Linked DNA regions of Oryctolagus cuniculus. The protein of the gene in region 3 interacts with the protein of the main gene of each other region in a pairwise test. Links are inferred from orthologs where the notes say so. Each region holds a gene or a part of one and is shown on either strand. Other genes may lie near its edges.

Region 1 (4,070 bases), on a different chromosome or scaffold from region 3:
ATCCTACCATGATACCCCTGCCCTACCCTTCCACTGTCCTCAAAGTAAGCGTTTGAAAAGTGTCTTCGGGGTGGGCATTTGGCACAGCAGTGAAGACCCTGCCTGTGGGGTGGCCATGGTGGTGTAGTGGGTTAAGCTGCCGCTTGAGATGTCGGCATCCCATATCAGACTGCCAGCTGAAGTCCTGGTTGCTCACTTCCAGTCCAGCTCCCTGCTGTTGCACCCTGAGAGCCAGCAGATGATGGCTCAAGGGCTTGGGACCCTGCCTTCTACTAGGGAAACCCAGATGGAGTTCCAGGTTCCTGGCTTCTGCCTGGCCCAGTCCCAGCCACAGGATGGAAGCTCCCTTTGTTTCTGTCTCTATATCTCAATCTGCCTTTCAAGTAAATGAAAATAAGCAGTCATTTTTGAAAATACCATAATCATTAAAAAAGGGCATTGCTTAGGATGCCTGCATCCCCTATCAGAGTGCCTGGGTTCCAGTCTGGGCTCCACTTTTCATTCCAGGTTCCTGCTAATATACATCCTGGGGTGTGTGTGGGGTTGTGTGTGTGTATGTTTGTGTATGTGTGTGTGTGTAGCAGGTGATGGTCAAGTACTTGAGTCCCTGCCACCCATATGGGATTCAGTTCTGGTTTCCTGGCTTCAGCCTGGCCCAGCCTCAGCTGTTGCAGGCATTTGTGGAGTGAACCAATGGATGGAGGATCTAGCATTCTCTGTCAAATAAATCCAATTTTTCCAGAAAGTGGCTTAGACAGTTAAGACCCCATGTTCCACATCAGAGTGCCTAGGTTCCATCCCCAGCTCTGGCTGCTGACCCCAGCTTCCTGCTAATGCAGACACTGGGAGGCAGTGGTGATGGCTCCTGGCCTGGCCACTGTGGGCATTCGGAGAGTGACCCAGCACATGGGAGCGCTCTGGTTCTCGGAAAGGAGGAGGAAGGAAGAAGTGGAGAAAGAGAGCAAGGGAGGGGAGGAGGGAGAAAAAAAGGGAAGCGGCTTGGGGGTCCTTTATGACGTAGCTCCGGCTGACTTCCTGGCCTAACCTCATGCTTTTCCCCTCTCCCAGTGGGAGCCACACTGCTAGCAGAGAACCTGGCACCTTCACTGCCTGCTCCCGCTGGTCTCCGGACTCCCGCCTGTGAGGTTCCATCTCTGTGGCATGTTCTTTATTTTTTTTTCTTTTAATTACACTTTGCTTTTTTTTTCTTTTCCTTTCCTGAGGCAGAGAGACGGAGCTCCCATTGCCTGGTTCACTCCCCAGGTGCCTGTAATGACTGAGGCTGGGCACCAGGAGTGCGACCCACGTCCCTCAGGTGGAGCAGCCTTCACCACTGCCTCCCTGGGGTCAAAGAGCCGCAGCTGGGGACGGAACCCAGCACCCACCCTGATGTGGAATACAGGCTTCCGAACCAGCGTTTGCACCACTAGGCCACACGCCCGCCCTCTTTCTGGAATATTCTATACTACTCTCCCCTTGCCCAATCCCTACTTGCCATTCATGACCAGCATAGCCATGACCACTTCTGAGAAGTGACCCCAGCCCCACGCCATGACAGCATCAGGTGCCTCCCTCCCCACAGTGCAGGCCAGGGTTCGGCTCCTTGGGGCGGGTACCTGCAGCTGGGCCTTGACTCGAGACTCCACCTTGTCATACTTGGGTGAGCGCCACAGAGCCTTCAGCGGCTGGGGCTGGCCCTGCTCCCGGCCGTGGCCCTGCTCCCGGAAGCGTCTCTGGATCTCCTTGATCCGCCTCAGGTTCTCCTTCTCATGGTCTTTAGGGTCCTTCCCTGGGGGAAAGGTGCTCCCAGGCTCTGCCCTGACCAGCTCCCTGCCCGCCCTCTCCAGAAAGATCTCCCGGTTTCTGTGTCTGCCAGACGCTGTCTACACACCAGACCTCCCCTCGCTCCCCTGCCTGCATGTAAATCTCCCCTCGTTATTTTCTGTATTTTTTCAGTAAATACCCTGGATCGCCTCATGTCTTCACTTACTGCCTCCCACCTTGCCTACGACCCTGCTTTCCTGGCACCCACAAGGCCTGCCACACAGGAAACACGTTTTGATGCATGAATTAATGAGGTTCCCTCCCGCGGGAAACTGACGCTCAAGAGAGGCAAAGCCTGGGCCCAGGTCAGGGAAGGGACAGCCGCTTTTGATTTCCAACTGCCTCACTGCCCCTTCTGCCGGACTTACTCTTGGGCGAGACCCGCGGACTGAGGGAGATGCCCTCGAGCTGCAGCAGCACGCCCCCTACGCCTCGCCAGCCACGCTCCAAGATCTCTCGGCCTCCGGGCCTGATGCGGGGCCCGCGGGGTGGGGTGGCGTCCGGCTTCAGCGCGTTTCCTTCGAGGCGGCCCTGGGCTGAGGGGCGGGACAGGGCCGAGTGCGGAGCTCAGCGGTGGAGCGGCAGGCGATCCCGGGCCTTGCCCCCTCCGCAGCACCCCCGACTCACCTGAGGCCGGCCGCCGGTAGTAGTCTGGGCAGAGCGTGGGGTCTGGGGGGATGGGCCCCGAGATGCGGGACGGGCCCTCGCACATGCTGTCCTCGACGCCCTGCAACGGTGCACCGAGGCCTGCCAGGCTGTGCACCTCCCGCCCGGGACTCCCTTCCCCAGCCCTGCGCCTCCTCCCTCCACCTAGACCCAGACCATGGCAGTGCCCCCCATTCCCGGCCCCCTTCGTCTCCCGCCCCGCCGCTAACCCACGTCCCTTCGGGGTTCGCGGCCTCTTCCCGGTAACCCCCGAGCCCGGCTCACTCTAGCAGTTTTGCCGCCAGCTGCAGCACCGCGAAGGGAGTTGCTGTTGCCAGGCAACGAATGGCTTCCGTCCCTGAGGTCAGGGGCAGTGACCCTGGCGCAAGGCCTTCTGGGGCTTGTAGTTCCAGCCGAGGGCAGGTGGGGCGACCACCAATTTCCCTTCGCAGCTCGCTTCCCAGCCAGTCTCTGTGGTCAGCTCAGGGCCCACCAGTGCAGCCCCTCATGGCTCGTCTCCCTTCTCTCCGTAGGTAACCGGCGAGGACGCGTTGACCCCGCGCAGCCATGGCCTCGGCAGGGGCGGAGAGGCCGCCAGGAGCCCAGGAAGGGGTGGCCGTGGGGCCGGCACAGCTCGTGAAGGCACCCAGTGGCCGCTCTGAGGTGATGGCCAAGGCTGTGAAGCCTTCACACCCTGGCCGTGCCACACTGGGGGACCGGACTCCGGATGACCAAGCTGGGGCTGGGCATGGGCTGGTGCCCTCCACCCCGTGTTTGGTGGCTAATGCTGGGCACCAGCTGACTTATGGCTATAGACTCTACCTAACCATGGTGACCAGTTGCCTATGTGTCACTTCTAGTGCCCAGTGATGGAAGCTCAGTGCCTGGAGCCAGCCTACGAGGCCTGCAGGACCCCAGGTGCAGACAGGTGTCCAAGAGGACATGCCTCAGAGCCAGAGCTCCAGGAACGAGCGCTCAAGCCGCAGGTGGAAGCACCAGAGGAGAAAGGCCCCAGGCCTATGGCCTCCCCCATGAGGCCTGGTCATGGGCCCAAGAGGAAGCCAGTCAAGTGAGGAGGCTTCCAGGGAGAGAGCCGCAGGGCTGAGGCGTGGGGCTCACACCCTAGTGGGGTTCTAGGTCCTGCTCTCCTGTAGAGCAGATTCTTGTCTCCTCCCACTACCAGTGCCCTCAACCCTTTCTGCTTCCTGCTGTGGGGAGCACCACGGGAGATGAGGACTTGGCTCACATGAGCTCTGGGCCCCGGTTGGGCCTGGGGCCTCACTGACCAGGAAAGGGACAGGTAACCAGCCCTGGGGTGGTGGGTAGGCAGGGCTCTTCCCTAGGCCTAGGGCCTGGGGGCTGGCTTGGCAGGCCCCTTGTCCCTGGCTGCAGTCCCCCAGCCTCCCCAGCTCTAGTCTCCATGCCCATCCTAGGGTTGAAGCTGAGCTGTCACCAGGGCTACTGCTGCAGAGGGAGGAGTCGGAGGGAAGCCAGAGTGAGCCCTCACCATCCCCGAAACAGCACAAGAAAGCAAAGAAACGCAAGAGTCTTGGGGCTCCTGTGCTGGCCGCCATGGCCAGCACAGTGCCTGCCCCCTCAGA
Region 2 (4,296 bases), on a different chromosome or scaffold from region 3:
GAGAAGCACTGGCTCAGCTCCTCAGCCGCTTCCCCTTCTATGGGTGCAAGCAGGGTAATGTCTGGCAGGAGCCTGTAACTGGCTGTCGCCACTGGTGAGAACTTGGCGTGGTCCTTGCCTGCAGGGAAGGGAGAGATCAGCCTGGGGGAATCCTCTCCCGAGCCACTGAGCGCGAAAGCCCAAGCCCACCGCCTTCTGCCGGTCAGGAGCATCCCTGGATTCCTGCGGCGACTAAGCTACGCCCTGCACCTGAGGCGGCCCACGGGTCTCACCGATGCCCTTGACACAGTGCATGAGCAGGTCAATCTCTTGGCCAGGTCGCAGCTGGGCAATGAGGATATCATCGTGCACCGGCCGGATAGTGCCCTCAGGGAAGAGGTCAGCCTGGTTCCCCAGGGGAACCCACGTCATGTGCCTGGTGTACACTGGAGGGAAGACAAGTCAGAGGGCTGTAGCCCCGAGACGCCCCCACAGCCAGCAGCCAGGCCTCCCTCCTTGCCCACTAACCTTTGTGATTCACATAGAGCTCGTTGGGGTCAGAGGAATCTTTAGCAGCGTGGGGGTTCCGAGTGCACCTGACCTGCAGCCGAAACTGCAGAGTGTCTATCTCTGTGCCCTCGTCGTCCCCTGCACAAAGGGAAGAGGCGGCCCTTACAGCAGCAGTGAGCATCAGGGTAGACACTGCCGAGTGCTACCCGTGTGCTGCTCCTCTCGTCCACAGATGATGAGTCACTTGCCCAGGGCCACAAGAGTCAACCCAGGATTCGAACCCAGGCAGCTGGTCCCAGGATCTACTAAGGAAGAAAGCGGTTCCACTTCCCCCAACAGCTTCATCTCCCAGGCCCTCACCTTGGTTCCGATATTCAAACAGTCGTGGATCAGCATGAATGGGAATGAGCCCCAGGCGGTGAGCCAGGATCTCATCCTGCACGATGGATGTGTTGTTGTACACCAGTACCTTCTCCACAGCCATTGTGGGCACCTACCCAGAGACCAGGATTACCCGTCTATAAAAACCCGGCAGACTCCCCACCTCCTGAGATGGACAACTCCTAGAAGAATGCCTCATAAAAACTTAAAGCAAAACACTCCACAAAATCGGGGGGGGGGGGGGGGGGCAACTTGAGACACTGACAGATGAGGTGATGGCACACTTCCCCACGCTCCAGCCGTCACCGGCCCCGCTGATACCTCCGCCAGCAGAATTCGCCGGAAAGCATTGGCAATGGCCGCATCAATTCCCACCATGTCAAACTCCAGCGAGTTTTCATCCATGTGTACCACATCCACGCGGAAGTTCTAGAGGCAAAGGAAAAACAAGTGGATGGAGCCTGCTCTTGGTGTGACCTGGCTACAGCTCCCCCTTGACACGGAACATCCCCGCTCCCCCAGAAGCCTTCCTCTGCCCAGCAAAGCCTCATTTGATGTTTTCTTCCTCTGTTCTTTTAGTTTCTTGAACAATGCCCCCAGTTTTGTATGCCACTAGTTGAAAATCCTATGCAATATGGCTTGAGCCAGAAGCTATTCTATGAAGAGCAGAAACTTCTATACAGTTTAGTCCAGCTGACAGGACTCAGTTCTTTTCTTACTAATGTTACATTTGGCATTGAATTAAAAAAAAAAAAAAAAAAAAAAAAAAAAACTCCTTTCTCAAACCCCATCTCCTCCGTGTCTGGGCACCAGTCCTCCATCTGAGGAGTTGCGTCTCCTTCCACCCACCACCTAGGTGTTACCGGTCCCCAGCTTCTTGTCTCTCTCCAAAGTGACATCAACCACACTCACGGTTTTAGCAACTACTATGGACAACTCCCCACATTCTGTCGAACGCTCTCCTGGGCTGCTAGCTCCTCCACACCGCGGGGAACCGAATGGGTCATCGTTCCCACTGCCCAGGCACCGCCAGCCGTCAGATGAGTTCCCACAGCCAGAAAGTCCTGACCGCTCTCACCAAAGCACTCCTGGGCTCCTTCCCCCAGCACTGCCTAGCGATCTGCCCGCCCCTTCTCCTCCTTCTCAACCACCAAAGCTGCAAACCGGATCACCTGGTCACGCCTGCTCAAGAACCCCCAGTGCCCGCCGTCAGGCCAGTGTAACATTCTATCAATAATGCGCGGTTCGGACATTCTAGGGACACGCCCACCCCGTCTTTACAAGTTAGCTCGCTTACTCCTCCCTCCTCGACCTTCACTCACCGTTCAGGGCTCAAACTCAGATGTCACTTCCTTCAGGGAATCCTATGATTCTGCCCCAGTCTAGACCGTCTCTGAGGGGTGCCCCACCCCCACTCTCAGCCGCCGTCACCGCATCCAACTAGAATGACCTGTACAGGCCTGAACAGCTCGATCGCAGAACAAGGCAGAAGCCCGGTGTGCAAGGAGCGCCCAGGACACGGTCGGATGCTGAGCAAACTTGGTTTTGCCACGTGAGTGACCCCTGGGAGCAGCTCGGAAGCCCGGGCTGCTCCGATCACACTCCGGCCCCACGCACCTTCTCGAAGCGGTCCTGATCCCAGGCATCATCATAACCGGAATAGTTCCCGGGGAAGTCGGTGGTATGAACCTAGAGATACGGGTCCGTCCGTGAAGAGGCAGCGAAGCCAAGCCCGCCCTCACTTTGATCCCGACCCGTCCCTCTCATACTTCCTTCTGAACTCAAGGCCACAAGGCTTACATTCCGAACTCCGAACTCCCCTAAAACCACGCGGCTCCGCATTTCTTCAACGGCCTGAGCCGCCGCCATCTTCGACTTCCCCCACGAGACTAAGGCCTCACGCCTGCGCGTGCGTTCTAGCGGCTTTCCTCCGTCGCCGTGGCAACGCACCGCCTCCCGGAGCCCGACGTATCGCGAGACTTTGCCCCGCCTCCGTCCACGTCCCCAACTTCCGGAAGTCTGTCTGGGCCAAACATCCGGGTTTCTCTTTTTTGCGTTCCGGCTGGTGGCGCCTGTCCTCGGCCCTGGACGTCTCCGTGCCTCAGGCCCACGTCTGCCCCCTCTTCCTCCGCGCGCGGGGCTAGCGCTGGCTTCGGGGACGGGAGCCCTCCAGGGACATGGCAGCCACCGCGGCGCCGGCCGGCGGCGCTCGAAACGGGGCCGGCCCGGAATGGGGCGGGTTCGAAGAAAACATCCAGGTAATGGCCCCAGCGCTTCGGCTGCCGGCCACCCCGACGTGTCTGGGGAAGCCTCCCTCGGGGCCCGAAAGCTTCCTCCATTTGCAACACTCCTCTCCCCTTTGGGTCTTCGTGCACGGGAAAGTCAGTGAAGCTAGTGCCGGCCGGAGGGCCTCGGGTCTCTGGACGCGCCTGAGGCGTTAGGAAGAGAGACAGAAGAGGAGGTCAATCGGGGTCAAGCGGGGCAGTGGGCGGGATTCGCTGGCACTCGCCAGAAACATCTTGTGTGCATGGTCTTGCTTGCGCCTTGCAAACCCTCGGGGCCTTTGATGGGGAAGGTGGGGAAAAGGCATGAGCGGAAGACAAGTAGGTGGCTTCTCGGGCTAGAGGAGAGCGCCGGAACCAGCAGCCAGGGGGTTCTGAGAGAAAGTGAGGGGTGACAGTGGCCTGATGTGCGGGGATTCGGAGGCGCGGCGCCAGCAGCGGGGCAGGGACCAGAAAGGCCTGCACTGTAGGAGGCATTGCCTTCACAGGGTGGGGGCTCTGCCGTGATTGACATGGAGAACATGGATGACACCTCGGGCTCCAGCTTCGAGGACATGGGTGAGCTGCACCAGCGCCTGCGCGAGGAAGAAGTGGACGCCGACGCGGCCGCTGCGGAAGAGGAGGATGGGGAGTTCCTGGGCATGAAGGGCTTTAAGGGGCAGCTGAGCCGGCAGGTGGCTGACCAGGTAAGCGGGGCTGAATCCTTGGCAAGTGCAGGATACCTGCGCGATCTGGAGTCGTGTGGGTGACCTTGACCTCAGGCTGCCCCAGTTGGAGCCCAGTAGAACCCCGACAGAAGCTAGGGAGCAGGACCCCAGGGCCAGGAGCCTCACGGGCCATCCCCGCATCTCCGCTCAGATGTGGCAGGCCGGGAAGAGACAAGCTTCCAGAGCCTTCAGTTTGTATGCCAACATCGACATCCTGAGACCCTACTTCGATGTGGAGCCTGCCCAGGTGCGCAGCAGGTGAGGCTCACCTCCTGAGCCCCGGTCCCTCACCCAGCCCTGGGCTCTGCTGTCCTTCCTGACGCCCTCACCCCTCCTCCCCGCACAGGGCACCAATTCGTTTCTACTCCTCTTCCTCCAAAGTTGAGCTCAAGTGTCGCCTCCTTTGCTCTGCGTTTCTGAGCCCCAGCCCGCCTCGT
Region 3 (4,021 bases):
TTAATTAGTGATATCACTTTAAAAATTTCTAGTCTGGGTTATTCGAACTTTGTTCGTTTTTTCTCAAGTAATTTGGTACAAATTTATATTTACTTAATTAGGATTTAATTTGATGACATGGATAAATGTGTCATAAATATTCAGACTTTTTCACTTTAGAATGGAAATTTAAGTTATAAAAATTTCCCTCTAAGAAACTTATTCTAGCAAATACAATTCGTCAGCACATCCTAACACGGAAGGATTAATTATGAGACAAAGAATAAATCAAATGTTTGAAATGCTGGAAGTGCTAATGATCACATTCAGGGCATTAAAGGGAGAGGGAGCATAACCTCCTTAGAAACGCAGAGAGCTCTCCTGTAACATTCAGCAGACAGCCGCGCGCCCCTGAGCAAAGCAGCAGCACAAAGACAGTGACTGTGAAAGGAAAGGGAAGAAAGCAGCTCTCACCGTCAGGGCAGCGGCCGAGCCTGAAAAGCTGTGCTGACCCCGCAGCCTCAGCCTCGCTCGCTGGGCGGAGGGAACAAAGGCCACCAAGAATTAAACCAGCCGGGAAGAAAAGCCGGGTCGCGCCGGGGGCAGGAGCCTTGCAAGTCCCACAAAGGACGCCCTCGGCCGGGGCTGACAGCCTCAGCCACACGTGCTCCCTGCTCGCGTTTCCTCCAGCAGCCCAGGCAGACCCTGCAGCAAACAAAGACCCCAAGAAACGATGTCTGGTGGCCGCCGCGCAGCGCACAAAGCCCCCGCAGGGGCAGCCAGGGGGCAGCGGGACACCACAGTGGAGACAATGCGCGGTGCGCAGACAAAGGCGGTGTAAAATCCACGCAGGGCATGCTTCAGAAACTGCAGGATTAGCCCATCAGCACGTGGAGAAGCAGCGAGGATCGTGAACTTTCTTTACGCAGACACGTTTGACAAATAATCAGAAGTGCATGGCAGAAACTAAAGACATGGAATTAAAACCTCATCTGCCAGAGGAGACAGTGTGGGAGGGGGGCTTGGGGTCTGCGGGAAAGCAGCAGAGCAGGGAGCGACGCCAGAGGAGGGGGCGCGGAGCCCGCCTTTGCCTGTGTGAACAAAGGAGCTGTCAGATTGGTCGGCCGTGGAGACCCGGCGCCGCGCGCTGCCGGTGCCACCACAGGAAGTGTCCGCCACGCTGCCTGCAGGGGAAAGAAGGTAGGAACACACAGTCACAGGGAACAGAGAGTGGGGGAAAGGAAAAAAAGGTGCACACTTCCCCCAAAGACACCTCCGTGACCGTCCCGAGCTCCAGGGCTCAAGCCCAAAAGGAGACAGCACCGGGGAAGTTCCCGAATCGTTTCTGGGAGAAGAAGCTGCCATGGAAGAGCCTGCAGCTCCCTCTGGTGCCCAGGAGGCATCTGGGGCCCAGGCAGGGGCTGAGGCAGCAGGGGAGGGTGCATCTGGGCCCAGCCTCCCTGAGTGTGAGACCTCTGGGGAATCTGTGGCTCCAGACACAGCCCCTGCTCGCGCGGCCTTGGGCCTAGTCCCTCTCCGTGTGGCTCCCAGCCCAGCCCATCTGCGGATGGTGGGCCTGAGGCACGTCCAGGCCGCAAGGGGAGGGGCCAGGCCCAGTCACCTGCCGAGCCGGAGCACTGGCAGCTGGACAAAGCAAGTCGTCTGCAGGTATTATCTGCATGGGCTGTGCAAGGAGGGGGAGAACTGTCGCTACTCTCACGACCTTTCTGGCAGGCAGGTGGCCCGAGAGGGCCATGGCGCACCGCCCCGGGCCTCTGCAGACAGAGGCCCCAGCATGGCTGCGCCCAGCCAGCCCCCAACTCAGGAAGTGGCGGAAGCCGCCCCTGCTGCATCCTCAAGCTCCTTGCCTCTGATTGGCTCGGCTGCTGAAAGGGGTCGCTTCGAAGCCGAGTTGGAATGCGCTGGTCAAGGGGCTGTCGGAGGATCAGGTGTAGAAGGCTGGGAAGAGGCCGTTGAGTTTGTTCCCGGGCAGCCCTACCGGGGCCGCAGGGTCGCTTCTGTCCCCGAGGCTCCTCTACAGAGCTCGGTGACTGAGAGAGAGCAGATGGCTGTGGGCATGGGGCAGCAGATGGCTGTGGGCATGGGGATGCAACTTTGCCCTCACGCTGCCAGGGGACAGTGCTTTCGTGGGGAGAGCTGTATGTACCTCCACGGAGAGATATGTGACATGTGTGGGCTACAGGCCTTGCACCCCTTGGATGCCGCTCAGAGGGCAGACCATAGAAAGGCCTGCGTCGAAGCACACGAGAAGGATATGGAGCTCTCGTTTGCCGTGCAGCGCAGTATGGATAAGGTGTGTGGCATCTGCATGGAGGTTGTCTATGACAAAGTCAACCCCAGCGACCGCCGCTTTGGCATCCTTTCCAACTGCAACCACCCCTTCTGTCTTAAGTGTATCCGTAGGTGGAGACGTGCCAGACACTTTGAGAACAGGATCGTCAAGTCCTGCCCACAGTGCAGAGTCACCTCCAACTTTGTCATTCCCAGTGAGTTCTGGGTGGAGGAGGAGGAAGAGAAGCAGAGACTTATTCAGCAGTACAAGGAGGCGTTGAGCAACAAGCCTTGCAGATATTTTGCCGAAGGCAGGGGCCACTGCCCGTTTGGAGAGCACTGCTTTTACAAGCATTCATACCCTGAGGGCCAGGGAGAGGAGCCTCAGGGGCGGGGTGGTGGACCGTCGGCCGCATACTGGCATCAACTTTCGCAGCCTGTGCAGCTGGGAGAGGGCAGCCTGCTCTTTAAAAGCAGTAAAAAGGAGCTTGTCACGCTTCGGCTGGCCAGTCTGTTGTTTAAGCGGTTTCTTTCACTGAGAAACGAGTTCCCCTTCTCTGAGGAGCAGTGGGACTTGCTTCATTATCAGCTGGAAGAGTATTTCAACTTGAATCTGTAGTATCCTGCCACACTCTGATCAAGTCTGCTGGGGCTTTGTCGTCTGCTGTTGGCTGTTTTCCCTTTATTGACATGCCTGTCACTTTCAGGGGCTGTGGTGGCGACTTTTATGCAGTGTTTCTCTGTTTTCTTGTCTATGCCCCGAATCTTTCCCCTAGGGTAATGGTGGTTTCATGTGTTAAAAAATAGTAAAGAATCCTTAAAGTTACTGTTTGGTGGAGCTAATATGACTGTTGCTTTGTGGGGTTTTTGTCATGTCTGTTTTTCAACAAAGTTCACTCAGTCCTAGTCTAGTGTTTACAGAATTTCTACACTCATTTTGAAGTCCCTCAAGAACAAATGTGACAGGGTGAAAGGGAAGTCTTAACTGGAAGCTTTTTGCTACAGTAGCCTTAAGAAGTGGACACTCGCAGGGCCTTGCTTGTTTTTGTTTGTTTACATCACTGCTCCTTCTGGCATCTCTTAAAGTGCACTTGTTAACTTGTGGTTACTTTGTGATTTCGTGTTTTACTTGAACAAAACCAGGTGCAAATGTTTACATGTTTTTATCCTGTTCAACTTGATGTGAAGTTATTTTATTTATATTTGGAAGTATGTGCTTAAAAGTGATATATTATATATGCATATTTGTGTATATTAGCTCTGTATTGGAAAATTTATATAAAATATACATCGTGATGTATATGTTTGCATAATAAAATAAATGCAGAGATGAAAGCTGAGGTCAAGGGATAGCAGGCTTGGCTGCTGTGTGAATAATCTTTCCCTTGCACAGATGTCACTTTTTAGCACCTAATGAAAACTGTTGTTCAAGTGTAATGCCAAGTGTAACAGATACAAGTCTTAAAGGATATATGAAACATGACATTGGTAATTCCTATGACCTCACTGTGCTGTTATAAATACAGAAATGTGTACTTCCATGCAGTAGAGCCAACAGCTCATTCATTATAACATAAAATCCTGAGCTCAGACATACAGTTGTTCATTTTCATTTTTTAAATATTATTTTTATACTTTGAAAACGGGCTTTTCATAAATTTATCAAAATAAAGGTAATAAGCATACAACATGTAAAATAGAATAAAATACTAAAACTAGTTAGGATATAAGATTGGAAAGATAAAAGAAT
Region 4 (3,048 bases), on a different chromosome or scaffold from region 3:
TCAGGCATTTCATAAACAGAACTTCAGGAACAGTGACTGTTCCCACCATACCTGCGCTCCCACCCACACTCCCACCCCCTTCTCCCTCTCCTATTCCCCTTATTTTAAAGGGCCAGATACTAATCATTTAGTGCTTTCAGACGACAGTCTCTGTTCACCGCTGCCCCTGGAGTGGGAAAGCAGAGTAAGCAAAATGGTGTGGCATTATTTCAATCAAGTATTGGCAAAACTTAATTCGCTGATCCCTTGCCTTAGAATGATCAAAGAGCAGAACTGAAAAATATTTCTTCCATTTGTCAAATTACAAGGCCACGGCCATGCCACTTTGAAGCCCTGGTAGGAAGTGACTGAAATGATCACCAGGGAGAGATCTGCACTGAACAGAAGGAAGGACAGGTGCACAGAGGCACAGAGGGTCATGTATGAAAAATGGGAATCAGGTATGGATGCTCATCATATAATTCTTTTGACTTTAACATTTTTATATATTAAGAAAACAGTCTCCACCACATAAACCTGTAAACTAGTATGTTAATCAATAAATGTTCATCTTTACATCTGACAAATCTTACTACAAGAAAGGACACCTTTTCCAAATTCAGTTCCAATAGAATATGTTCATGTGTTAACACCGCAAACCACAGAAGTACAGACTCATCTATGTGTATAAGAAAATCTTTCAGAAGCAGCCATCGTACCTGATTTGCTACTACTGCATCTTGTGGGTCATCTGGTTCTGCAGCTGCCAATAGTGCTTGCAATGACAACAATACTGTGCGGAGAGTCATTGCTGCTGCCCTAAAATAAGAAAATATACCAGTTAGGAAGCCTGTGTTTTGTGAGGCAAAATGGATATGATCTGAATAAAACATAAACCACCAGCAACTTTTTATCTTAATTACAAAGTTAGGGAAATTTACTTTTTTTTTTTTTTTTTTTTTTTGACAGAGTGGACAGTGAGAGAGACAGACAGAGAGAAAGGTCTTCCTTTGCCATTGGTTCACCCTCCAATGGCCACCGTGGCTGGCGCACCACGCTGATCCGATGGCAGGAGCCAGGTACTTATCCTGGTCTCCCATGGGGTGCAGGGCCCAAGCACTTGGGCCATCCTCCACTGCACTCCCTGGCCACAGCAGAGAGCTGGCCTGGAAGAGGGGCAACCGGGACAGAATCCAGTGCCCCGACCGGGACTAGAACCCAGTGTGCCAGAGCCGCAAGGCGGAGGATTAGCCTAGTGAGCCGTGGCGCCGGCCCTAAAAGAATCTTTAAATGTAAAGTTTTTGAGCTGAACCCAAATCAATTATAAGCAATGACACTGTCTTAAGAATGAATTAAGAAAAGTAATACCAAAATAAAACCTATTCTTATGACACCAATCTTTTATGTTATTAAAAAAAAAAGGCATAGAAAGCTTTGGACTGCTCTACATATATTTTATTATCTTTTTTAAAGATTTATTTATTTGAAAGGCAGAGTTACAAAGAGGCAGAGGCAGAGAGAAAGAGAAGTCTTCCATCTGCTGGTTCACTACCCAGATGGCTTCAACAGCTGGAACTGTGCCAATCTAAAACCAGAAGCCAGGAGTTTCTTCTGGGTCTCCCACGCAGGTGCAGGGGCCCAAGGACTTGGGCCATCTTCCACTGCTTTCTCAGGCCATAGCAGAGACCTGGATCAGAAGTGAAGCAGCCAGTACCCGAACCGGCGCCAATATGGGATGCCGGCACTGCAGGTGACAGCTTTACCTGCTACGCCACAGTGCCAGCCCCTCTACATTAATTTTAAAATATAAGTAATGTGGAAAAGTATGCAACTGAAAACCTTTTTATTCCATTAATTCTTTTCACAAAGTACTGATTAAATCCATGGTATACTGAGATTTTTAGTATTCAGTGATAATAGTTTAAATCTATTAAAATAAATCCTAATAGCAAAGAAGAAAATGAAATTTGGGGCTGGCTTTGGATTGGCACAGCTCCAGCTGCTGTGGCCATCTGGGGAGTGAACCAGCAGATGTTAAGACCATTCTCTCTCTGTGCCTCTGTCTCTCTGTAGCTCTGCCCTTCAAATAAAGGTGTTAACTTTTATTAATTAGTAGATGATACAAGTCAGTAAAAGATAAATCTAAAGTATTAATACTGCTCAAATTGATAAGCATAGCCAATATGGGTACTTATTTATTCACAAAGTACTCAATAAAGTCTTACAATAACCATCTAACTGTTCATATTGTTGACCGACTTTTCTGTTAAGGATCTTCCAGAAGATCAAAAATTAACCCACGTTCATTCCAAACAATTCTACATGAAGAGAATGGTGTTTGTTTTGTTACAATTGGTTAAGTATAAGAAGAGTAAAATGCTGTACAGCCAGATGGATTTTTATGCATGTCTATGTCCATGTAACCATATGGATCAAAATGTAGAGTACTTCTAACATTGAAAAGCCTCATTCCTCTCCCTCTCCAACTCCTGCCTACACACACCAATGCCCTAATTCCCACCACCATAAATTAGTTGTGGCTTATCTTGAATTTCAAAAAAAGCTAACCATACAGTATATCTTCTTGTGTGTCTGGCTTTTGTCACTCAACATATCTGTGAAAATAATCCATACTGTTTCTGTCAATAGTGTGCTTGACTTTACTGCTCTTTAGTGTTCCATTGTATGATTATACTCAATATACTGATTCTCTTGTTGATAAGTCATTTCAGTTATTTCCAGGTGTATTCTGCTGCGTGTATTCTTATGTAAGTGTTTTTGCATTTCTCTTCGACATATATCTAAGAGTAAAACTGCTGAGCTACCAAAGTTTTATGTTTCACTTTGGTAGATACTACTGGTTTTAAGTGGCTGAGCCACATTCCTACCAGCAATGTATGAGGGATGCAGATGTACAGGTACACAGTGGTATCCAATTGTCACTTTAATTTGCATTTGCATTTTCCTGTTGACTAATGAGGTAGAGAACAGCTTACTGACCACATCTAGATGTTCCCACAGCAAAGTATCTGTTCATACCTTTAGGAAGGGCAGGATTACTAAGTGCAA
Region 5 (3,964 bases), on a different chromosome or scaffold from region 3:
CACTTGTCAAGTGCTTAGCACATAGTCAGCGTTCAAGTGGTGCTGGGAACTTTGGTCCTCTGTGGAGTGGGCAGGAGGCCCCTCCCCTTCCTTCCACCTGCTTCTCTCCTGGCCTTGGGTGCAGACGGTGAGGCCCTCGCCTGCCCCAGCAGAGGATCAGCAAGGCTCCAAGCAGTAGCAGCCGCAGCTCGGTTTCAGCCCAGCTGTCCAGGGCAGAGACACCCGGCTGGGCGTCCTCCAAGGCCACGCTAGGCCTCAAGCTATTTCTGGAGGCTTCCCAGACGCTCGTGCCCTGGCCTGCCCAGGAGCCGGCCTTGCCCTCGTCTCAGGAAGGCAGAGCCGAGCAGGCTGTGGGAGGGGTGTGGGTGTGGATGCCCAGGGCACTGAACTCCTGCCTGGCCTGCCCGCATGCCCGCCCCCAAGGACCCAATCTCCCGGGCCTCAGTTGGCACCAGAGGTTGCAAAATGAGGACAGAGGGGCTCGTAGTGGGAATGGAACGAGAGACACCACACACAGGGCCTCGGGGAAGGGCCCGGCCCAGGATGCGGAGGCTGGCCGTTGAGGCAGGCGCACAGCCAAGCCCACTTCACGGCCTAGATTGCCCTCTGCTCAGACCTGAGCTCACCATCCTGGCTTCTCATCTCAGCCCAGAGATGTGAAGAAACTTGCCAAAGTCACACAGCAAGTCAGAGACAAGTCATACAGAGTGACGGTCTCATGAGACACGTGTGTGTGTGTGTGTGTATGATTATTGTTTTCAATGAGGTAATGCATGCACATGGCTCAAAATTCAAACTATAAAGGAAATAAAGTTAAAAAAAAAAAACACAACTCCCTCCACCTCTGTCCTCACTACCACCACCCCCCACAGGCACCACTGGGGCCGGAAAAATTTTAGGCAAAACCAAGCAAGTATGAACACTAATGATTTCCTTTGTACACACATGGCACCACGCTGCGTAGACTGTTTTCACCTGCTCTTCCTTGGCGCACAGTATGTTGCTCTTGCTGCCACGTCAGTAGACAGAGCGTACCCCCCCCCATTTGTTTCCCTGGTCCCCACTGACAGCCACTGTCACCAACCACGCTGCAGCGTCACTGCGCCTACATTTTGCCTGAAATGGGGCGGCTGGGGCCAAGGGATGCATTGGCGATTGCAGCAGAGATAGGACCGCGTGCCCCAGGAGCCACACAAGTCTGTGCCTCACCAGGGGAACACACCGGTTCACTTCACTTAACTCCATGACGGAGATCACGGCCACCGCAGGAAGTGTGTGCCAGCGATGCATGCCTCCTCCCAGCCCCCACCTTCATCGCCTTCTACTGGGAGAAGATAATCAACTCGCTAGCAAGCAGAATTTATAGGACACAGGACAGAGCAAACGAGGAAAATGAGACATCAGGGGAGGGTAGGACACGCAGTCAACAACCACTTCCCGAGGGCAGGCACTGGGCACAGCAGTTCAGCCGCCACTTGGGACACCCACAGCCCATACTGAAGTACCCACCCACGCCCTAGGAAGTAGCACAAGTGCTTGGGACTCTGCCACCCCCGTGGGAGTCCTGGATGAAGTTCGGAGCGCTTGGCTTCAGCCTGGCCCAGTTCTGACTGTTGTGGGCATCTGGGGAGTGAACCAGCAGATGGATGATCACTCTCTGTCTGTCTCCCTGCCTTGCAAATAAAATGAAAATAAATAACTATTTGTGGAAGGAATGGATGAAAGGCTTTTCTTTCTGAATTTTCTGAGCTCTTCTCCCCAAAGCCAGGAAACGGGTCCAGAAGGGAAGAGAATAAGTAACTCTCTTGTGATGAGATTCAGGATTCGAATTCTGCAGTTCTCTGAGTGGAGGATTCTAAGACTGAAGCCAGATGGACCAGGTGACTTCGGGCAAGGAGCCTACCTCCTTCAAGGAGGAAGCTGTTCCCCCACCTACCAAAGGAGACCAACAAGAGCAGGTGCAGGGAGAGGGGTCCCCAGGAGGCAGAGCAGGGTCTGGCCCAGCTCAGAGGCTCCACCTGGAGGGCCCCAGCCCCAACCCCACCCCCAGTGTTTAGGGACTGCTTCAACCCCTCTCCCGACCCCAGGCAGGTTCCCAAGAAGACAACAGCGTCTCCGAGGGTTCAAGAATCTACTGCCCACTTGGCATCTATCCTGGAAACGTCGGTCCCCTCCCATCCCCAGAAAGAGGGCCCTGGGAGGGGGTGTTGGGATTCAGAACCCCCGACAGCAGAAGGGCCCCAGGCGCGCTGGGTCTCCTGAGGACGGTGCCGAGTGGGCAAGGTAATCCAGCCAGGAGTTCAAGGGCCGTATCCGTGCCGAGGACAGACTGGGAAAGCAACCGCCGGTTACCTCTGGGCCTCTCAAGGCAAATTTGCACCTGCCTAGCCTTAGCGGCTGCGCAGGGGTAAAAAAAGACGGCCTAGGACCCTCGTCCTTCTGAGTTTCAGCTTCCGTATCTGAAATGGCACGCAGATCATACGCGGGGAGGACGCCCGGGAGCGCTGGGCGGACGCAACTCCCAACACCCGGGCTCGCAACCGGGACCACCCCCGAGCTCACCTGGAGCCCGCGCTAGGCGTGTGAGGTTGACAGCTCGGACCCGGGCCGGGGGTGGCCGCGCCCAACGCAGGCAGGTCCCAGCCCCGCGCGGCGACCCGCAGGAGCCTCTTCGGAGCTGCGCGCGGCACCTGAGACGCGCAGGTGTCCCGGTGTTTCCGAAGGCCTCCCCGGAGCGAAGGTCCCCGGGTCGCGGAGGAAAGGGAAGTGGGCCCGCCGCTCCCCACCCCGCAACTTCCCCGGAATGGTTCGCTCCGGACTTCCTGATTGGTTCCTCGCTTCCGTTCGAACGCCGCGGCGCCCAGGTTGCCAAGCGACCGCTTAGCTTCGGCTGCGCGCTGGAGGCGACTCACAGCCCCGCCCCTGCCGGCCCGGTGTCCTCCCGGCGGCTGCGGGAGCTGGCGCCTGGCTCTTTTCCTGTCTTCTCCCTACTTCTCGGGTTAGGCCTTCCTCTGGGGATCCAGCTGGAAATGGCACTAGTCGGGGCCTCGGGCAGGTTCCTAGTCCTGTCTTTGTCCCTAATTTGCTGTGTGACCGCAGACCTGTCCCTGTCCGTCAGAAGAGAGGTCTTTCTAAAACCTTGCATATCCGGCCGTCCCGAAATTTGCAAAGGAAGTGGCTCCAAACTGAGCAAATGTCAGTAGTAACCCAGCAGTAGTCGGCTTAGTGAGATGATGCGGAAACAGCAGCGCTTATCAGGAGGTCTGGTTACGCAAATGCACGCTGTGCCAGTGGCTTCGTGTAACCTAACCGCGGCAGGGCCCGCGTCACATCCTTCGCCACGGTCTGGTGAGGAACAGTATGCAGCCACCAAAATGATGCACTTAAAATATATTTAAAGATATGGTGAAATGCTAACGGAATGTTGAATTATTAAAAGTTGCTTCAAAGTCCTATGCATACATATTATATGTAACCGCAATATGTATATATGCATAATCACATAATAATAGTAGTTAATTTCTTTTTATTTGAATGTTTTTGTTGTACATTTTTTAAAAAAAAACTTTATTTATTTGAAAGGCAGAGTCAGAGAGAGAGAGAGGAGAGAGAGAGGTCCTCAAAATGGCTTTAATAGCTAGGGCTGCACCAGGCAGCAGCCAGAAACCAGGAACTCCATCCTGGTCTCCCATGTGAGTGGCAGGGGCCCGACTCCTTGGATCATCTTTTGCTGCCTTCCCAGGCACGTTAACAGGAAGCTGGATGGAAAGCAGAGTAGCCAGGACTTGAGCCAACACTCCAGCTGTGGGATGACAGCATTGCAAACTGCAGCTTAACCCACTGTACCACAAAGCCAGGGCTTTGCGGGTTTTCCTAAAGTCCATCACGTGGACTTGTCAAGAGGGGGAAAGAAAAAAAAAGACATTTTTAAGGGCACTAGACTAAATTCACCCTCCAGGCCCTT
Region 6 (2,841 bases), on a different chromosome or scaffold from region 3:
CCCTGAGTCCCAGCTAAGCTTTGGCTAGGGGCAGGGCAGCTAAACAGGAACCCACCCTCCTTGGCTCAGTGCCAACGTGAAACTCGAGGACTGGGTCCCCACACGCAGGGACAGAGGTTGGCGACGGAGGTCTCCAGCTCCGACACCTCTGCTGTGGTCAGAGCTGGGGCCGTGGTCAAGTGCAAGGGACATGGAAACTTCTGGGAGACAGGCTGGGGGGAGGCGTCACTCAGCTTCCACGGCTGCCCCATAAAACAGTGTGTGTCAGCGCCACCTCCTTCTCCTCGGCCCCGTCTCTCCCCGGGGTTGCCTGCGTCCCCCCTGGGGGACCAAACTGGACTGAGCACCCAGGTGGCCTGCTTCCCAGCCTCTGACAGAGGACAAGCTGAGTCAGGAAGGAGAGTGGGACCCTTCGTGAGCCCTGCTGCTCTGTGATGGCAGGCGGCGTGGAGGGGGCAGCTGACCCGGCCTGGAGAGCCTCATGGGAAGTCCTCCAACAAGTGGCAACAGGCCACCGACTTGAAAGGGAAAATTGTGCTGTGAAGGGGAAGGTGTCCGACGAACCTACTGGGTGACTAATTACGCAGGCCCGGCTGGAGCCTCGGAGGCCGCTCGTTAAACACTTCGTTAAGTAGCACCCTGATAGCTGCCACCCTTCTGGGAGCATTTGGGAGCTCGGAGGGGACCCTGCATGGCTGAGGCCCTGGGGCTGGAATTGTCTCCCAGTAGACTCAGGAAGAAGCCTGGCCTCACTTCTAAAAGTCTGGAGCTCCCCGGTCAGAGGGGGCAGGTGACCTGGCATGCAGAGCCCATAGGAGAAAAGCCCAAGGAAGCTGGGTGCAGGAGAGAGCTGCAGGGACTTGGCAGCTGTGTGGCCCTGAGCAAGTCTCACAGCCTGAGAGTGAAGAGGCTCCCACACCACGTCAGGGCTGCACACCTCACAGTCACGGTGGGGACTGCACCCAGTGAGGACTAGGGAAGCGCTTGGGTTACCTCGCCTGAAGGGGGGGGGCAGTGCACCTGGCCGGATTAGCAGCCCCATCTTCCTGCACCCACCTGAGCCCACAGGCTATGCCAAAGCCGAAGCTGCCAGGTGGCTGAAGCCGTCCTTACCTCCTGGCAGCTTCCTAACGCGGGTGCTGGACAGGAGGGGGCAGCCTGGAGCCCAGCAAGGTGCCCGCACAGGTGGGGCCCACGCCCAGATTTCTCCTGCTGACTGTTCCAATGACTCACCCCCACATCCCGGCCCTTTTACCTTTAAGGAAGAGCCGGAAAGGGTGTGGGGAGAAGACAGGGAGGCAGGTCCTGGGCCCCAGTCCCGCCCCCCCGCCCCTCCCCACCCTTGCCTAGGCCAAGCCACCCAGCCAAAAGGCAGGTTGAGAGCAGCAGAGGCACAGAGTCCAGCCTTGGTCCCCAGGCAGCCAGCTCGCCCGCCGCCCGTCTCTCTGTCCCCAGAGCCATGGAGAGAGCCAGTCTGATCCAGAAGGCCAAGCTGGCCGAGCAGGCTGAGCGCTACGAGGACATGGCGGCCTTCATGAAGGGCGCGGTGGAGAAGGGCGAGGAGCTCTCCTGTGAAGAGCGAAACCTGCTCTCGGTGGCCTACAAGAACGTGGTGGGCGGCCAGAGGGCGGCCTGGAGGGTCCTGTCCAGCATCGAGCAGAAGAGCACGGAGGAGGGCTCGGAGGAGAAGGGCCCGGAGGTGCGCGAGTACCGGGAGAGGGTGGAGAAGGAGCTCCGCGGCGTGTGCGACGCCGTGCTGGGGCTGCTGGACTCCCACCTCATCAAGGAGGCAGGCGAGGCCGAGAGCCGCGTCTTCTACCTCAAGATGAAGGGCGACTACTACCGCTACCTGGCCGAGGTGGCCACCGGCGACGACAAGAAGCGCATCATCGACTCGGCCCGCTCCGCCTACCAGGAGGCCATGGACATCAGCAAGAAGGAGATGCCGCCCACCAACCCCATCCGCCTGGGCCTGGCCCTGAACTTTTCTGTCTTCCACTACGAGATCGCCAACAGCCCCGAGGAGGCCATCACGCTGGCCAAGACCACTTTCGACGAGGCCATGGCCGACCTGCACACCCTCAGCGAGGACTCCTACAAGGACAGCACCCTCATCATGCAGCTGCTGCGAGACAACCTGACGCTCTGGACAGCCGACAACGCCGGCGAAGAGGGCGGGGAGGCTCCCGAGGAGCCGCAGAGCTGAGCCGCCCGCCGCCGCCCTGCCCCCTCCGGTCCCCGACGCCCCGCGGAGAGGACTACTACGGGGTGGGAGGCGCCCCCCTTCTCCCCCTCGCTGCGCCGCCCCGGCTCCCAAAGGCTCCCTGGAGAAGGGAGCCGCTGAGCCGAGGCCGCCCGGGGGTCTCGCTCTCCCTGCAAGCCGCGGGGCGCTCCCAGCCCCTGGCCGCCCCCCCACCCTGCTCTCCGCACCCCTTCCCCTCCCGCCTCGCCTCCCTCCTGCCCCTGCGGCTGAGCGCGGCGCCGGGCGGCAGAGGCGGGAGCTGGGGTGCGCGTGTGACTGTGAGTGAGCGAGAGGGAAAGCGTCTGTCTGCCGGCGGTGACCGGCTCGGCTCAATAAACTCCCCGTGACACTCAGTCCTCCGGTCTTCTGCAGTTATTGGCGCTGGGCTGGGAGATGGGTGGGAGTGGGCTTTGCACAGGCCCCGATTTCCCCCGCGGCTGGCCCAGCGGCCCGCGGGCGAGACCTTGCGGGGGCGCAGCCAGGTTCGAGGCGGGGGCCTCTCCCCGCTCCGGGTGGCCCCACACTGGTCTGGTCCCGGGAGGGGCGGAGAGCAGAGGCAGCACTGAGGCGCCTCCCTCGGGCTAGGGGAGCGGGTGCCT

Evidence for each region.
Region 1: the proteins of MKRN3 (region 3) and ENKD1 interact in binary tests that used the Homo sapiens proteins (3 or more experiments, as listed by UniProt). The two-hybrid records come from large-scale screens. The link is inferred for Oryctolagus cuniculus from reciprocal best matches to the Homo sapiens genes MKRN3 and ENKD1.
Region 2: the proteins of MKRN3 (region 3) and POLR1C interact in binary tests that used the Homo sapiens proteins (3 or more experiments, as listed by UniProt). The two-hybrid records come from large-scale screens. The link is inferred for Oryctolagus cuniculus from reciprocal best matches to the Homo sapiens genes MKRN3 and POLR1C.
Region 4: the proteins of MKRN3 (region 3) and UBE2K interact in binary tests that used the Homo sapiens proteins (3 or more experiments, as listed by UniProt). The link is inferred for Oryctolagus cuniculus from reciprocal best matches to the Homo sapiens genes MKRN3 and UBE2K.
Region 5: the proteins of MKRN3 (region 3) and FAM110A interact in binary tests that used the Homo sapiens proteins (3 or more experiments, as listed by UniProt). The two-hybrid records come from large-scale screens. The link is inferred for Oryctolagus cuniculus from reciprocal best matches to the Homo sapiens genes MKRN3 and FAM110A.
Region 6: the proteins of MKRN3 (region 3) and SFN interact in binary tests that used the Homo sapiens proteins (3 or more experiments, as listed by UniProt). The two-hybrid records come from large-scale screens. The link is inferred for Oryctolagus cuniculus from reciprocal best matches to the Homo sapiens genes MKRN3 and SFN.

What each region holds. Positions count from the first base shown.
Region 1 is NC_091449.1:50,907,477-50,911,546, forward strand, and holds the start of ENKD1 (enkurin domain-containing protein 1), read right to left. Parts: upstream 2,801-4,070; 5' UTR 2,700-2,800; intron 2,552-2,699; 5' UTR 2,537-2,551; coding exon 2,452-2,536; intron 2,361-2,451; coding exon 2,193-2,360; intron 1,790-2,192; coding exon 1,617-1,789; intron 1-1,616. Other genes in the region: C18H16orf86 (uncharacterized protein C16orf86 homolog), read left to right, coding at 3,037-3,132, 3,330-3,538, 3,903-4,070. UniProt on the Homo sapiens protein: Microtubule-binding protein which regulates microtubule organization and stability. Promotes the stability of astral microtubules and facilitates the proper orientation of the mitotic spindle.
Region 2 is NC_091436.1:126,548,517-126,552,812, forward strand, and holds the start of POLR1C (DNA-directed RNA polymerases I and III subunit RPAC1), read right to left. Parts: upstream 2,801-4,296; 5' UTR 2,740-2,800; coding exon 2,671-2,739; exon of another isoform or gene 2,640-2,670; intron 2,560-2,639; coding exon 2,488-2,559; intron 2,191-2,487; exon of another isoform or gene 2,124-2,190; coding exon of another isoform or gene 2,043-2,123; intron 1,300-2,042; coding exon 1,192-1,299; intron 983-1,191; coding exon 850-982; intron 628-849; coding exon 508-627; intron 426-507; coding exon 273-425; intron 119-272; coding exon 1-118. Other genes in the region: protein YIPF3, read left to right, coding at 3,048-3,128, 3,641-3,838, 4,011-4,117. UniProt on the Homo sapiens protein: DNA-dependent RNA polymerase catalyzes the transcription of DNA into RNA using the four ribonucleoside triphosphates as substrates.
Region 3 is NC_091443.1:13,380,333-13,384,353, forward strand, and holds the start of MKRN3 (probable E3 ubiquitin-protein ligase makorin-3), read left to right. Parts: upstream 1-1,221; 5' UTR 1,222-1,342; coding exon 1,343-2,890; 3' UTR 2,891-4,021. UniProt on the Homo sapiens protein: E3 ubiquitin ligase catalyzing the covalent attachment of ubiquitin moieties onto substrate proteins.
Region 4 is NC_091433.1:33,602,561-33,605,608, reverse strand, and holds part of UBE2K (ubiquitin-conjugating enzyme E2 K), read right to left. Parts: intron 799-3,048; coding exon 699-798; intron 1-698. UniProt on the Homo sapiens protein: Accepts ubiquitin from the E1 complex and catalyzes its covalent attachment to other proteins. In vitro, in the presence or in the absence of BRCA1-BARD1 E3 ubiquitin-protein ligase complex, catalyzes the synthesis of 'Lys-48'-linked polyubiquitin chains.
Region 5 is NC_091442.1:26,831,843-26,835,806, reverse strand, and holds the start of FAM110A (protein FAM110A), read right to left. Parts: upstream 2,801-3,964; 5' UTR 2,563-2,800; intron 1-2,562.
Region 6 is NC_091438.1:144,640,943-144,643,783, reverse strand, and holds SFN (14-3-3 protein sigma), read left to right. Parts: upstream 1-1,356; 5' UTR 1,357-1,459; coding exon 1,460-2,206; 3' UTR 2,207-2,341; downstream 2,342-2,841. UniProt on the Homo sapiens protein: Adapter protein implicated in the regulation of a large spectrum of both general and specialized signaling pathways. Binds to a large number of partners, usually by recognition of a phosphoserine or phosphothreonine motif.